Drosophila melanogaster: one gene and its partner. The protein of the gene in region 1 interacts with the protein of each later gene in a pairwise test. Each region holds a gene or a part of one and is shown in the gene's direction. Other genes may lie near its edges.

What was found.
Region 2: the proteins of Rlip (region 1) and CG32086 interact in a two-hybrid assay, tested with the Drosophila melanogaster proteins (one large-scale study listed by BioGRID).

The regions. Positions count from the first base shown.
Region 1 is NT_033777.3:21,012,888-21,021,253, forward strand, and holds Rlip (Ral interacting protein), read left to right. Parts: upstream 1-4,796; 5' UTR 4,797-4,890; coding exon 4,891-4,987; intron 4,988-5,054; coding exon 5,055-5,187; intron 5,188-5,242; coding exon 5,243-6,127; intron 6,128-6,557; coding exon 6,558-7,320; 3' UTR 7,321-7,866; downstream 7,867-8,366. Other genes in the region: Calx (Na/Ca-exchange protein), read left to right, coding at 4-208; CG5697 (uncharacterized protein), read left to right, coding at 3,398-3,540, 3,614-3,872. UniProt on the Drosophila melanogaster protein: Participates in receptor endocytosis during interphase, is also involved in mitotic processes when endocytosis is switched off.
Region 2 is NT_037436.4:11,579,882-11,587,184, reverse strand, and holds CG32086 (uncharacterized protein), read left to right. Parts: upstream 1-3,120; 5' UTR 3,121-3,151; coding exon 3,152-3,675; intron 3,676-3,740; coding exon 3,741-3,917; intron 3,918-3,968; coding exon 3,969-4,743; 3' UTR 4,744-4,784; downstream 4,785-7,303. Other genes in the region: rt (rotated abdomen), read left to right, coding at 1-448, 680-1,242, 1,334-2,113, 2,173-2,894; CG33269 (uncharacterized protein), read left to right, coding at 5,069-5,335; CG43391 (uncharacterized protein), read left to right, coding at 6,199-6,321; CG43390 (uncharacterized protein), read left to right, coding at 7,286-7,303.

The DNA.
Region 1 (8,366 bases):
TAGCATTGGATTCGCCGTGGCGCTCTTCTGCGGCGAGGCCCTGATTGCCATAATGCTCATCATGTTCCGGCGCTGGCACAAGGGCATTGGCGCCGAGCTGGGCGGTCCGAAAGTATCGAAGTACATCAGCGCAGCGATCCTGGTATTCCTGTGGGTGTTCTACGTGGTTATATGCATACTGGAAGCCTACGACGTCATCCGGGTTTAAGGAGTTCGCAGCCGCGTTGGTTTGGCTTTGGCTTGATTATTCGCAATGGCGTTGGACTTTTCCGTCAAATTGAAGAGGATCGTTACGGCGGAAAACAGAGCTAACCGATACTTAGAAGCTATTGAAAGATGCTGTAGATGCAGTTTTTATATGTAAACTTATGAAATTGATTTATATATATATGTGCTCGGCGCGATATATAAATATTTCTTGTGTAAAATTTATGTTAATACTAAAAGTAAAATTTAAAAGTTTAACTAGGTTTAAGCCAGGCTTATATACAAACCATTTTTACGATTATTGTCTCTATTCATATATGAATTGTAAATACAGAAAGGCTGCCACGGCTCAGCAATCTTGTAACCGTAACGAGATCATTTACTGTTATGCCATATATACTTAATTTACTTTCTAAAGAATACTATTATATTTATTATATCATTCTGTGTATAACTTAAGTCATTGTTGTTGTTTGTTAAAGCTGTACTTAATCGACCCCATAAAATCAAAACGGGAAAATCGGAATCGATTTAGAGTTTAAATCGTGTTCCGTACTCCAAACTCGATATTGTCTCTCCATTTGCCGAAAACCATTGTTAATTTAATACATGTGTAAGTTTTAGGAAAGATCTAAAGGTTTTAGCCAAGAAGAAACGCAGTCCCTCTAGCCATCTACTACAAATACTACAATTATAACTACTACTACTGATTAGGGGCCTCCTTGACAACTAGTTCTAGTCACCTCACACTATCGACACAAGTCCAACTAGCAACACTTTCATTAACTCTGACCAAAGCAAAAGGCGGCACTACTTACTAGCGATTAGCTGTTAGCGATTAGCCAGAAAGACCATCAGTGTGTCCACACTGCACTATGAAGAACTACACGTACTACCAGTGAGCACTAATCAATTTACTTAAAAAAAGACTTTCTATTCGCTTACGTCGCTGGTATCGAAGTAGACAAAACTGGATATTAAGGCAAACACCAAAACAATAGCGAAATAATAAGGAGAATTACTAGAATTGATTGTAAACCAAATGTAACGAGCAGGTACATATTTTTTGTATAATGTACTATTTTTCATATAACAAAATTGTAGCAAATTAATGGTGAGAAGAGAAGCCTAATGATATTTATAGCCACATGCATAAATTTGTATTATATATTTGGGGTCACACAACTGTACGGGGAACTCGTTGAGAAAACTGCGCCAAATTTAGACGTAATTGATTATTAATTACTGCATATACGAACTATTAAACAATTTAATAAATATACAAACATGAATAAATAATAATGTACTAAGTTATACTGTCAACGTTTACTGCTAGATATTATAATTAAATTTCTTTTTAAATTTATTTCTATAATTGCCTTTTTATTTCCCTTACTAAAACGAACTTCAGACAATATCTGAATACTCCTACGTTTTTCATAGATCGCGATATATAAATGCAGTTAACAGACGGTTACAAAAAATCGACCAGGGTCAGGGTAAGAAATCCGTGGCAAGGAAATCAATATATTGCGAATAAAGCGAATAGTATATGAAATCGAGGGGCAAGTGCTGAGGAGCAGTGAATGTAACAATACGACACAGAGGATAACCAGATATATAAGCAGACATGCAAATAAATTACCCATAGACGATTATCTTTAATGGCAAAGGCAAATAAAACGATTTAAGTGCTTCCGACATAGGGTTTAGGTACTTCTAGAGAACTAGGAGTAGAAAGCGTATCTGAATGAAGAGAAAGAGCATGTTACTTTAGCAAATTATAGGTTCCACTTTACTATGATTGCGTTCTTTAACATTATGTATTGATTTAAACTATTTTAAAATCAGTTGCACAACTAAATGATAGGGTTCGAATTTACATATATGTCTAATTTTGTATGATTAACATTGCGTTGTTTATATAATTCCCTATTCATTTGACGAGTTTCAAAATCAATAACATATGTGTACCATAGTAGATACCATAGATAGTATTCGAATCTATGTATATCTATATGTTTTGAGGGCAGGCCAAGCAGTTAATATGTATGTGTATTGTACAATATTAATCATTTGCTGTTTGTTATCATGTTTTTTCGAATTCAAATTATACCTGCATTTTTAAATGTATACTTATGAATGTGATTTTACCCAAAAACAAAAGCAACTACAAAAATATACTCGTATTTACTAAACCGATAAAGTATGCAAATAGTCGAATAGATCGAATACCACATACATATGTAGTTTTATATAGCATATGCTTGGGGTGACGATCCACCGATCTCACTAACCGTATCTCTTCTCACTTTAACACGCTATAAGAAAATACCAAATCGAAAGCTACATATTTGAATATATATACTCGTACTCACTATAAGAAAATACCCGTTGTCGTAACGAAAGCTAGGATCTTCTGAGAATCGAAGGAGTATATGGCTTATCGTATTACCTTATCGAATCGAATAGAGCCTAGACCCTAGAGTTACTGGCATACGAATATATGTATTCCGTGCATGTTTACCAACCGAATCCCAATAAACTAACACATTAAACCGATCGATCTGGCTGTGAACTTTTCACTTCCCTGAAATCTTGGGCTTATCCTTATCGCTATGGGAAACTGGGGGAGGCGACTTCTCTGCTGCGGTTATGTAATGCCCCAAAAAAGCGCCAGATAAGACCAACCGCCGGTTGCGGAAGATGAGCGGATCGCCACGGCCCATGGAGATAAAGTTGTTTACAGGAATCCGGACCGAGCACAAAGACAAACAGCAATGGCAATAAAGCAATGGGACAGAGAGACAACCCAGCTGCAAGCTAATTAAAGTTGCGACAGAACGAAGCCAGTCGCCAGTAGTCCGCCAGTTGCGAATGGAGCAATTTCCAGCCGGGAGTGTTTGCAATCCTGGTACTATCCCGTGAGAAGGGCTGAAAAAGGACTGTAAAATACCCAGTTCCCATCTATAGTTATCTGTCGTGCCTGCAAGGGGCTACGGCAACTTTGGTGGTATTGACAAAAAAAAAACGAAAGATACATGTCACAGTTATCATATATAAATTATCAGTCATTTGAATAAATCATTATTCATTATTATTATTATTTTCACTTCTTGTTACAGATAAAGTTACATAAACTGCGTATACCCTCTTGTTCGGCACACATCCAGGGTACCACACGGCAAATATGTCCTGCAACGAGAAGACAGCGCTTCTGGCAACGCAACAAGGACATCAGCAGCGGCAGCAGCGGCAGCAGCAGCACATCATTGTCGTGCCCGCGACGGGGAAGGATCCAAAGGATTATGAGCCCATTTTCACAACTGCTGAGTAAACGCTTTCCGTCGTATTTCATTAAAAAATAACTTCGTTACACAGTGCCGCCTGCCCGCTTCTTTCGTAGCTATTCCTACGGACTGACGCTCGAGGAGCTCCTGCCCTTCGCTCTGGATCCCTGGTGGCAGGCCGTACGGCGCCTCAGCTGCGGGCTCCTGGGCCTGACTTTCCTGCTGACCCTGATTGCTGGACTGGTTATGGCCTATTCCGACAGTGTCTGTCTCCCAAATAGAGCAATTAGCAGAAACGCGACCACCACGACAACGATGGCCACGCCACTATCCTTGGCTCTCAACGGCTCCCAGCTGCTGATGGCCAGTTTATAGTGGCCGTAAGCTAATCTGTGTAGCATTTTGGAGATGCCGCAATCCACCCTGCGGAATTGCATCAGCCGCATCAGCTCGCACTATTAGCATTTGTTTGGCTTGCCGGTAATGGAGGCGACCTAATCCTCCTCCTCTCTACTGTTTACCCCTACTCAAGCTGAGTGATAAGCGATGCACCGCGGGATTGATTGGTCGTGAAATAATTATACTGATTAACTTATTTGCTACACAACCGCCTACTCGTAAAGTAAAAAGAATGCAAAAGGTATAAGGAAGCGTTTCCGTACCAATTAAGAACATTGTATCGCAAACTTATTAATTTTTATATATATACATATATATATATGAATATTACTTAAACTAATAAACGAATAGTTTTTTTTCATCGCTGTATTCTGGTTTCGGTTTCTGGGAGTTTAGAAGTTAACAAACCGCCTTATAGTTTTACAGCCCCACCCTGAAAAAATGGTTTGATTTAGTTTTATTTTATAAATAGTCTTGGCAATTTGTATACTTGTGAAAAAACATTTTCACCACGCCCACACTAGCGCGCACAATTAACAAAATCCTGTAGTTACAGAGGTGGTACTCTTGTCATTTTGGAAGTTTTATGTATTATGTAGTTTATGTATATATATAAAAAATATTTTCTTAGAATTTAAATTATTTAAAATATTATTATTATTATATTATATATTAACACATATTTATTTATTTATTTATTATATATATATATATATATATATATTAATATTATAAAAATTTAAGAGTTAGTAGCTGATCGCATTTCTGATAGTTGAGGAACTCGACTGTAGCGTTTTCTCTTGTTTCAATTTGCCTTTTTTTAAATATCTACACCGTTACTACATATTTTTTACATGACACAGTAGCGCCATCTGTGCACTTATCAGTGTTGGATAGCAGCGGCGACTTCGATTAAGCAATCGATTATTTGTTGCATATGTTGTTTACGGCAATTGTTTATATTTATTTACTGCTGGTGAAGTGATTATTCGTGATGGATTTTGACAGTCCCGAGGAGAAGGAGTTTCCCGGGCTGTACGCCTCCGAGGCGGCGGACGCTAAGTCGAGGAAGAGCAAGGAGGAGAGCGACTGTGAGTGGAGCGCAAAGATGTGGGCGTAAGCTGGGAAAAAATCAATGGGCTCACCTTGCCTTTACAGTTAGTGAGGATCACGACCATAGCAAGAAGGACTTGTTGATTGGCCGGCGCAAGGACAAGAAGGAAAAGGGCAAGGATCGAGGATACGCCGCTCTGGAGGGCGAGAGCTCGCCGGAGGAGGAGCTGGACACCAAGTGGGTGCAGGTCAGCTGACCCAGAGACAAGTAATATTTTTTCTTTTACTTCCAGAAGTCCATCCAAGTCGAAAAAGTCAAAGACCTTTAAGTTCACCAGCTCCAAGAGCAAGGAGAAGCGGGAAAAGTCGCGGGACAAGTCTGAAAAAGACTCGAAGCACGCAGAGGAGGAGCCTTCCGTCTCCCACAAGGTCAAGGAGAAAGAGCGGGATAAGGAGAAGGACCGTGATGAGCCCAAGAAGAAGGACAAGGAGGAGAAGCGCAAGGAAAAGGACAAGAAGGCTGACAAGAAGGACAAAAAGGATAAGAAGAGCAAGCAGCTGTCGCAGCAGCAGGACGACGTCTCCGCCGCGGAGGAAGTGCTGGCACTTGGGTATCCCGTCTTTGGGGTGTCCGTTAGCTTGGCGACCGAACGATCCCGCTGCCACGACGGCGTGGACATTCCCCTGGTTGTGCGCGACTGCATCGACTTCCTGCAGGATCACCTGAAGTGTGAGCAGATCTACAAGATTGAGCCCATCAAGACGCGTCTGATGCACTTCAAGCGGTTGTACAACAACCGGGAGCACGACTCCGCCGTTGATGAGCTCAACCTGCCTACCGCCTGCAGTCTGCTGAAGCTCTTCCTGCGCGAACTGCCGGAGCCACTGCTGACCACCGATCTGGTGGCCCGCTTTGAGGAGGTAGCCTCTCATCCGAAGGTAACCACGCAGCAGGCAGAGCTGCAGCAGCTGCTTGAACAATTGCCCAAGTGCAATCGCACCCTCTTGGCGTGGGTGCTGCTCCACTTCGACGCGGTGATCCAGCAGGAAAGACACAATAAGCTCAACGCTCAGTCGCTGGCTATGCTGCTCAGTCCGACGCTCCAGATGTCTCACCGACTAATGGTGGCCCTACTCTGCCACTGCAACAACTTGTTCGCGGACGTCCAGCTGATAAAGTGAGCAAACACCGGCTAGCCGGATAACAGTGGTGGGAAATATCCAAGTACCTTTGTGTTGGTAAAAGAGAAGTCCACATTTAACAACTATAGTTAAATCACAAGAACGAATCGAAGTCATAGCTCTGAAGTTAACTACTAAACTGTTAGTTTTAGTAAACTGTTAGTTTCCATATTTATCTAATGATATAAATTGTTTTTTTATATGTATAATAGGTACTTATAAGAACCCAGATAATTCCCACCACTGTTGGCAGTTGATAAGATTGCTGCTATAAAAATCGCCAGATTTAGTCGTTTATTTTGCAACCGACGATGAGCACATTACCCCGTAAACAGAAGCGCTTTCCACGTTTCGCCAGTTTTCTAATCAGGCAGAATGGCACACATTTAAACAAAGTTATCATAATACTAAATTGTCATCTCTTAGGTATGTGCCCCCTTTAACATCGACCAGCCCAAAGCTTCCGGATACGCCGGAGGACATCCAGACGGAGTTGCGCAAGCAGGACAGCCTCCTGTCCCAGATCCACAGCGAGATGAACGCCGGGTTCATTACCAAGAAACGCGAGGAACAGCTGTGGGAAGTGCAGCGCATCATTACCCAGCTGAAGCGGAAACTACGAACTTTTGAGAAGAAACAGGAAAAGACTGCGGAGGAAGTAGACAACAGCAGCAGTGCTCCGCCCGCTGTAGCCAGTGAAGATACCACTGACTCCAAACCAGCTGGAACTCCAGCCGTATCTACGAACAACAGTATTTCCCAGGAAGAGCCAAAAACCGATACACTAACTCCGAAAGATGCTCCTAACGATTTTACTATTGATCCCAGCACTGGCTTTATTTTGCTCCCCAAATCAAATCCGCACCGCGAAAATTTGCTGCGGCTCCAAATTGAATATGACGAGCTAATGGAATGGCAGAACGAACTAAAAGCACGTATCGTCGCCGAGCGCAACGAAGTCTATAGGCTCAAGCAGCTGTACGAGCAGCAGTCAATAAACAGTCAAATGGCCTCCTTGGCCTCGGGATCTCAGGCTCCCCCAGAATCCGACTATGAGCGGATAATCGAGCACTATACACGGGAGAATGCGCTGCTGGAGCACAAGAAGAATATGCTGGGCATGGAACTAAAGGAGGAACGACGGGCCTGTATTGCTCTACAAGTTGAGCTGCGGCTCCAGCAGTTTTAATGTATTAATTCGATTAATGTATTACTTGGATGGGTCAATTTGAGGGATATAACTAAGTTCCTATTCCGGAAACTTAATGGTCACATTTCCAAAGAAACATAAAAGGTCTACTAGGCAATCATAGGAGGTTTCTTAGATTCGTAGAAGACAATTCTATGTCACATATCTAAAATATTCAAATGAATAAACTTGTAAAGTTTTTGATAATTCATTTATCTGCAAACGTAGTCACTGTTCTAAACAGTGTCCTTTGTGAATTGCAATATATGAGAATTTTCAGTTCAGCTTTTAAGGAGATAAAATACTGCTAAAACATAAAACGGATTCCTCATGCCTAAAGTCAGTTTATTGTTTATTTGGAAATGAGCTAGTTTCAGACTTGACCCACCGAAATATATGTATGTATATAGGGTTACCAATTTTAAATCTCAATGTCTACTTGCGATCAAATGCTTTGTTCAAACTATAATTACTGTTAAACGGCGCAAAGCCCCAAAGAAATCTTGTTAGACAACTTTACTGCTTTCAACAATTAAATGAGAAAACAAACTCAAAATTCCCTTTTCTGTACTGAACTATTGCATCGAAATATGTCTCCTCGAAGAATTTTGTAAATGCCGGTAAAGTAGCTGCGTTTGTGTGTGCCGACAATCAAGATCCGATTTTCTAAATCGGTCTGATGACTTAATTCCAATCCGAGAAATACAGGGCACAGATTAGAAGATGTTTAGACGACGGATTGGCTGTTCGCTGGGGTGAAACGGAAATGACATCATCTCATATTACGTCTTGTCAACATTGTGATGGTCAAGGAACCGAGGTGGGCTTTGCGTGTTACGATTACTTTATTTAATATTTATTATTAATAATTTTAGAATACATTATCATTATGCATTACGTTCGGGGCGTGTTTTCTGTATTCCGCTGAAGTACAACTTAAAAATATCACACACAAATACCACGGGGGAAAGATGAGTCCTCCGGAATGCCAAACCGCGTCAACTCGCTCCCCTCCATGATTAAGTTATTTCCGCTGGACTACAGAT
Region 2 (7,303 bases), on another chromosome or scaffold:
AACAACACACAGCAATCAGCAACTCACCTTCACCACTGTGCTGTAACGGCGCTCGTGCTTTAACAATGCTCAATTGCTGCGTCGACGTCAACTGTCATTTGAATGCGCCGCTCCGCGGCAGCGTTAACCGGCACACGACGCCAACGCCGACCCCGACTGCGACGCCAACGCCGGTAGCGACGCCAAAACAAGCCTCCCCCTCGCCTACCTCCGATCGTTCGCGCTCCCTCTCACGCTCGCCTTCGCCGTCTCGGTCTCGCTCGCTCTCCTGCCAAAAACAAATCGACAAGAACAGCGCTGGCGCAGCATCCGCAGAAGAGAGAAAAACCGCTAATGCGAGTTCGCAGCCATTTACCGTTAACCTGAGAATCGATCTCTTCAGTTGGACACTCTTTCTCTTGGCCTTCGGCACGCGTTTTTACAAGCTGGCAACGCCGCCGCACATCGTGTGAGTAGAAAAACAATAACAAACCTGCAAATGGGGTCACCGCTGAATGAAAAAAATACACACATAACAATGTCTTAGATTTTTTGTTTATTAATTTAATCTGCGAGAGCAGAGTCTTACATTTAAGTTCATTGCATTACATTTAAGTCTTGCATTTATAGCTCAAATGATTTATGCCTATGTCTTTATAATATTTTCAAGATTCATAGTAAAATACTTCCTACCCAACAGATTCGATGAACTCCACTACGGCAAGTACATTTCCATGTACATGCGAAACATTTTCTTCTTCGATCAACATCCACCGCTGGGCAAACAGCTGATCGCCGGACTGGTCAGCCTGGCTGGTTACGATGGCAATTACACCTTTACCCGCATTGGAGAGCCCTATTCCCCGGAAATGCCCATCTTCTGGTTCCGATTTCTACCAGCCATGTGCGGCAGTCTACTGGCCCCCGCCGTTTACAATCTTTTGCTGGAGGCGAAGCTCAGTCGCTGGTCATCCGCTTTGGGTGGCCTGCTTGTGGTCCTGGACAACTCATTGCTGACGCAATCCCGTTTTGTTCTGATGGAATCAATGCTTCTGCTGGCCACCACGGTGGGCATCGCCTGTTTGCTACGCTTCCAACGAAGTCGCCTGGGCAGCCTGGAATGGTTCTTTACTGGAACGGCAGCTGCCGTCTGTTTGGGAGCCGCCGGAACCGTCAAGTACGTCGGATTCTTGGCACTGGGGCTAGCCTTTTATTTGCTGTGTCGACACCTGTGGCAACTGCTCTACGACGCCGGTCTCACCGGTAAGATACCTTTTTTTCTGAGATTTACAAATACGATTTACGATATAATAATAGAGATTGAATAAATCAAAATAAAACCATTTTTTTCAAGATCGCCAGCTATGGATGCATGCCATAAGTCGCCTGTTAATCTTTGTTGGAATTCCATTGGCGGTCTACTTGGGAGTCTTCTATATCCACTTCAAGACGCTGCACCGGGCTGGACCGCATGATAGCATCATGACTAGCGCGTTTCAGGCCTCGTTAGATGGAGGATTGGCATCGATCACAAAAGGACAGCCATTGGCAGTGGTTCATGGATCCCAAATCACACTACGACACACCCACGGACGCACCTGTTGGCTGCACTCGCATGCAGCTGTCTATCCGGTGCGGTATCCGGACAAGAGAGGCTCCTCCCACCAGCAGCAGGTCACCTGCTACTCCTTCAAGGATGTGAACAACTGGTGGCTGGTTAAGCGACCAACAAAGGAGAACCTGGTGGTGGGTGATGAGCCGGATATCATTCGGCACGGTGAAATTATTCAGTTGGTCCATGGAATTACGAGCCGAGCTCTGAACTCACACGATGTGGCTGCGGCAATGACGCCGCAGTGCCAAGAAGTCAGCTGCTACATAGATTACGAGATCAAAATGGCCGGTGAACTGTTGTGGCGCGTGGAGATTCTGAATCGCGATTCCGAAGGTGACATTTGGCATGCCATCAAGTCGGAGGTCCGCCTCGTTCACGTGTCCACAGAAGCCTCCTTGAAGTTCAGTGGGCGCCAACTTCCCGAATGGGGTTTCAATCAGCACGAGGTGGTGGCGGATCGTGAAAAGGCAATACATGAGGATGCCATTTGGAATGTTGAGGAGCACCGCTATACACAGAGTAAGTCCTCTTCGAGATACTTGAAGAAATACGTTATCCTCATTTACAACCCTTTATAGCTGAGGATCATCGGGAGCGAGAGCGCCAGATGCTAACTGCCGAGATGATACCCACAAAGCGGACGCGCATCTCGTTCTGGGCCAAGCTACTGGAGCTACAATCCAAGATGCTGTTCCAAACGAAGTCAGTGCCAAATCACATGTACAGCTCGATGCCGCACGAGTGGCCGCTAATGGACAAGGGCATCGCTTATTGGTTGGACTCACAGTCGAGTGCGCAGATCTATTTGCTGGGAAACATACTACTCTGGTACACAGCCACCATGGGAATACTTGTCTATGCCGGATTACTCGCCTTCTACGCGATGCGGCGGCAACGTCTTTGCTTTGATATTTCGGAGCAAGAGTGGCAGCGATTCGTATTAGCTGGTGACACCTTTTTTATGGGCTACGTGATGCACTATATTCCGTATTTTTGTGTGGATCGTACACTCTTCCTGCACAATTACTTGCCAGCCTTTGTGTTTAAGTTACTTTTATTGTGCTTTGTCGTGGAGCATTTGGACTATCTGCTCAGGCGCTTCTGCACCGGACGTGGTGTCCATCTGGTGCGCCTTTATCGCCTCATGCTAATCCTGTGGCTGGTGGGCGTGCTTAGCATTTTCTCAAAGTTTATACCATTCAGTTATGGTGCGAGAAAAATGACTTTAAATGAGGTTCGCAGTCTTCGATGGAAGGATACCTGGGACTTTGTCCTGCACAAGAACCACCACCTGTACTGAAAAAACAGATGCCATCTCCGCGGCCAGAGAGAGACGTGCAATGATGTACTAGTACCATGTACAATAGACTAGACGACTAGCTAAAGTTGAACTAATACTAAGCCATAAATTATTTGACATGTAAACATACTCATTTACAAGACCAATAAATACAATTATTTATTTATTTAAGATGTTCTGCTTTATCACTCAGTAATATGTATAAGCACTCTGAAAACACTTGAACCCACACTATATACATAAATACACTCATAAACATGGCCAATAAGGGACACTTTATAGACAGAAATGCAAATATACCGACTGCAGGATTGTCCACCAGTGGATTAGATGGAGCGGAAGGTGTAAAAGTTTGTCTTAGTATTAGCAATCCAGAAGAATTGGCTGAGAGTCTAGTTAGGCGCAATTACGGGCAGATCAATAAAAAATCCCAGAAGTTCCCAGCCGGTTCCGTTCAACCCAGCAGCAGCATCCGGGATTTGCTCACCAGCGAGTTGCAAAAGTCGCGCTTTATGTCCTTCAAGGAGAAGTTCTACGAGGAAATGTACTTCAAAAAGGCCACTTTGGGTGGGGTCAAGAAAACGTACTCCAAACCGGAAGACGTGACCAATATAAGCCAAACCTTCGGAAGTCCATCGAGTCAATCACAAAATGAATGTCTCTACGACGTCATATTGCCGGCCAAGTCGGCGGAGCAAGTTAATAAGGAGTACGAGGCTTTCCACGACAAGTACATCATCAGCCACAATCACTACTTTCCTTCGGAGCAGGTTAACCGCAGGTCAAGCTATTGGTCACTACAAATGCAATGGTGCATATTTAATGAACGTCTTAAATATTTTTTAGATATGCCCAACCATTTGATCGAAAATCACCTTGTGGAGATATACATACTCACGGCGATTTTGGACTGAAAGTGAAGCGATGTCTGGAGGAAGGTGAGAACCACCTGAAGGTTATTGGCAAGGCGCAAGTGGACTTTATGGATCGAAACGAGGCACCCCTCGGAATGCGAAACAAAAAGTAAGTATAGATAGATATAGATTTTGATTAATAGTTTTAGACTGTCTGTAGGTACACTTTTGCGGTGCCCGACATAACTTTCGGTGTTCCTCTGCGCAGCAATGGCGATGTGAAGATGCTGCTAAATAATATTGAACCCTGCTACAAAACCAACCGGCTACTAGATGCCATACGCTATTTGAACAAAAAACGTCATAGTTTGAGGAACCAGCTGGAATTTCACAAGTACGCACTAAATTCAGTGCTGGAGAGGAGTGACACGGATGGAACGGGTCACTTGCCACTGGCACGCATCTTGGAAATTTTCAGAAGTTTTCACATCCGTCTGGATGCGCAAAAAATCCGTCTGGCCTTGTCCAATTTTCGGCTGATTGTGGACGAGGGCTGTGCCACGGAGCGGGTGAATTATGTAGATTTCTTTCGACTTCTCTCGATTCAGAATTCTCTGCCGAAAACGGGAAACTTGACCAATGTATCCGATGTTAGTTGTCTGGACACCACATATCGTTTGCTCTGCGCCGATCTTCAAAACAAGTCAAAGGATAATACGGGAGCAATTAGCCAGAATCTCGAAGGGAATAAAACAACTGCCAAGGATCTTATAACACCGGATTTGGCCATTTTACGTGGCCTTACTCACAGTGATTTCACCTGTTTGCGGCCCAAAGCGGAAATCGAACGTATCTTTAGAAGTCTCGTAACAACTGATAAATTCGAAGCTATTTGGCAGAGTCTAATGACTAAGTTCAAGGACCAAAATGAAATGGCATCCGTCACGCAGTTTCGTACTGAAATGCACAACAAAATAGAGGCCATATCTACATAATACTTAGACAATTTACCATGACAAACAAATATATAATAAACAAAAATAAACTATAGCATAAGTTTGGGCTGTCATTTGTGTGAAGCAAATATTTGCTACAGCATTAAACTTTCAAAGCTGGTGTCTTACGACCAAATATTTAAATTTCTGTGATCAGTTAGGAAATCAAATTAATACTAGTTTTCTAAATCCGGAAATTACTGGAGAACTATAAATGGGGTGACTTCAACATCAGTTGATCACAACAGCCCTTCGCCGCTTTTAAGCCAAGTCTAATATCAATTGCTTTGCCAGCTAACCAACATAACCAACAATAACATCAAAGATGAAATACCTGTTCGTGGTTGCCCTTATTGCCCTGGCCATCCAGGTGGCTTCATCTTCTAGTAATACAACAACAACTGATGCCACCACCACAACAACAACCACCACTGCAGCATCGACCACAACAACAACAACGGCCGCTTCCACTCACAAAAAGCTTTGTTGGAGGGGCAACAACTGGTGCCACACCCGCATTCCCAAGCGGAAGTGCAAGAACCCAAAGAGGTGCCACAAGACCATCGTGATTGTGACCCACAGGAAAAATTAAGCTGCACTAGTAGTTTTTGAAATAAAGAAATTCTTTTTAAAAGAATTTTGCCTAATATTTTCATTTTATCTATAAAATTATTTTAAGTAGTATTTGTACCCTTAACTCATAACGCATAGTAAATGGGTATGCAATGTGTGTTTAAAAGTAGGTAACACTTAAAAAGTTTTCGATCCTATTGTATTGTACACATATGCCTTATCAGAATATATAGCCGATTTAGTCTATCGGTCGCCAATTTTCTAAAGAAATAGTTTCATCGCCTTTAAATTGCAAAAAATTGCCTTTACATATATTTTCGGAATAAAAACATTCTACTTCATTTTCCACTAGACACTTGTGCAAGCTAAACTCTGAGTAATAGGTATCTGATAGTCGAGGAATTGGACTTCAGCTGTTTCTCTTATTTTATTATGAATTTAAAGAATAATAAATAAAAAGAATAATAAATAATCGTTTTAAATAGAAGCAACATCACAGAAGTTTCTATTTTTCCAGGCAATACTCAATTCTTAAAAGTCCATTAAATTATTTATTATCTAAACTGAATTTGAAACATTTTAATGCATCTGAATTACCACTTCTACTCACTTCATTTTTAGGTTACTTTAATGTGTAAAACAGCTGTTTTACTATAATTGGAACTTTAATAGATAAATAAATATTATACCAACTTAAGAGACTTCCTATCTTAATAAGGAAATCATTTTAAACTGACTACTAACCATATGTGCTTACAAGGTGCAAACAAGAAGAAAACTATTAAAAAATTAAAGTATAAAAGATTATGATTCCACATTGGTTAATCACAAAAGTTTCTACCTTCATTTGAGAAGCACCATAAAATTCCAGGATCATTTAAGATGAAGTTCCTCTACGTGTTCCTCGTTATCGCCTTGGCCATTCAATTGGCAGCTTCAGCTACGAATTCAACACATGCCCACAAGACTAAAGTTATTGTGACCCGAAGGAAAACAGCAAATTGAGCTGGACATGTTTACACCATCAAAATAAACATTTCAAAAAAATACATTCCTCCTTGTTTTAAAATTTTGGTCTAATTTTGGTTGGCTAATGTGAAATGGTATTTCACGATTTTGGAGCAGATGAATTTTATTTTAGTTCCTTCTATTTGGTTCATCATAATAAAAAAAAACATTTTCTAAAACGGCTGCTGTCAATATAAACTATATTCAATGTTTTTAACATATGACCAACGGTGCGAACACCTTAAGTTTAAAAGAAGTTCGTTTGACTTTAATACTTACATGTTATAACAACTATAAAGTAGGAAATAATATACGATTTTTATGAGACAGCTATTGGATTTTATACATAAAGAATATTTTGTATAGCACTCTACGTACTGTAGAAACTTATTTCGCTTAAGATAATACCTATTGTATTTCAAGAATAAATGTGAAATTAAGGGCTATGTTAAGATATTATATTATAAAAAAATAGTATTAAACTTTATTAAAATATTGAAAATCTAATATTAATATTAGCATGCTGATATATAGAAAATATAAATATTTAATAATATTAAAATATATCATATTCTCTAATTTTTATATTCTAATAATGATATTAGGACATAACTATTTACATATGTACATCAGAAATGTTATTTACTGTAGTTTAAGTTTTAACTTCAGGTTTAATGGGTTAAAATTGTGGCAATTTGAACAGCTGTGTTATTATCCAGTAAACCAGTTGCTCATGTTTGATGTAGTATTATTGACAAGTAATAGTACTGCTTATGTTAACAAGAAAATCAATTTCCCTAATTATGATTTCCATATGTGTGTTTATTAGCATCAAATGAGGAAGTCAACTGTACAAAAATTCTCCTATAAAAGATTTTGATTTCGAATCGTTTGATCACAACAGTTTCTCGCCCCAAATTTGAGCTTCAGAAGTTGCCAAAAAATTTAAGGATCAGTAAACATGAAGTTCCTCTACGTG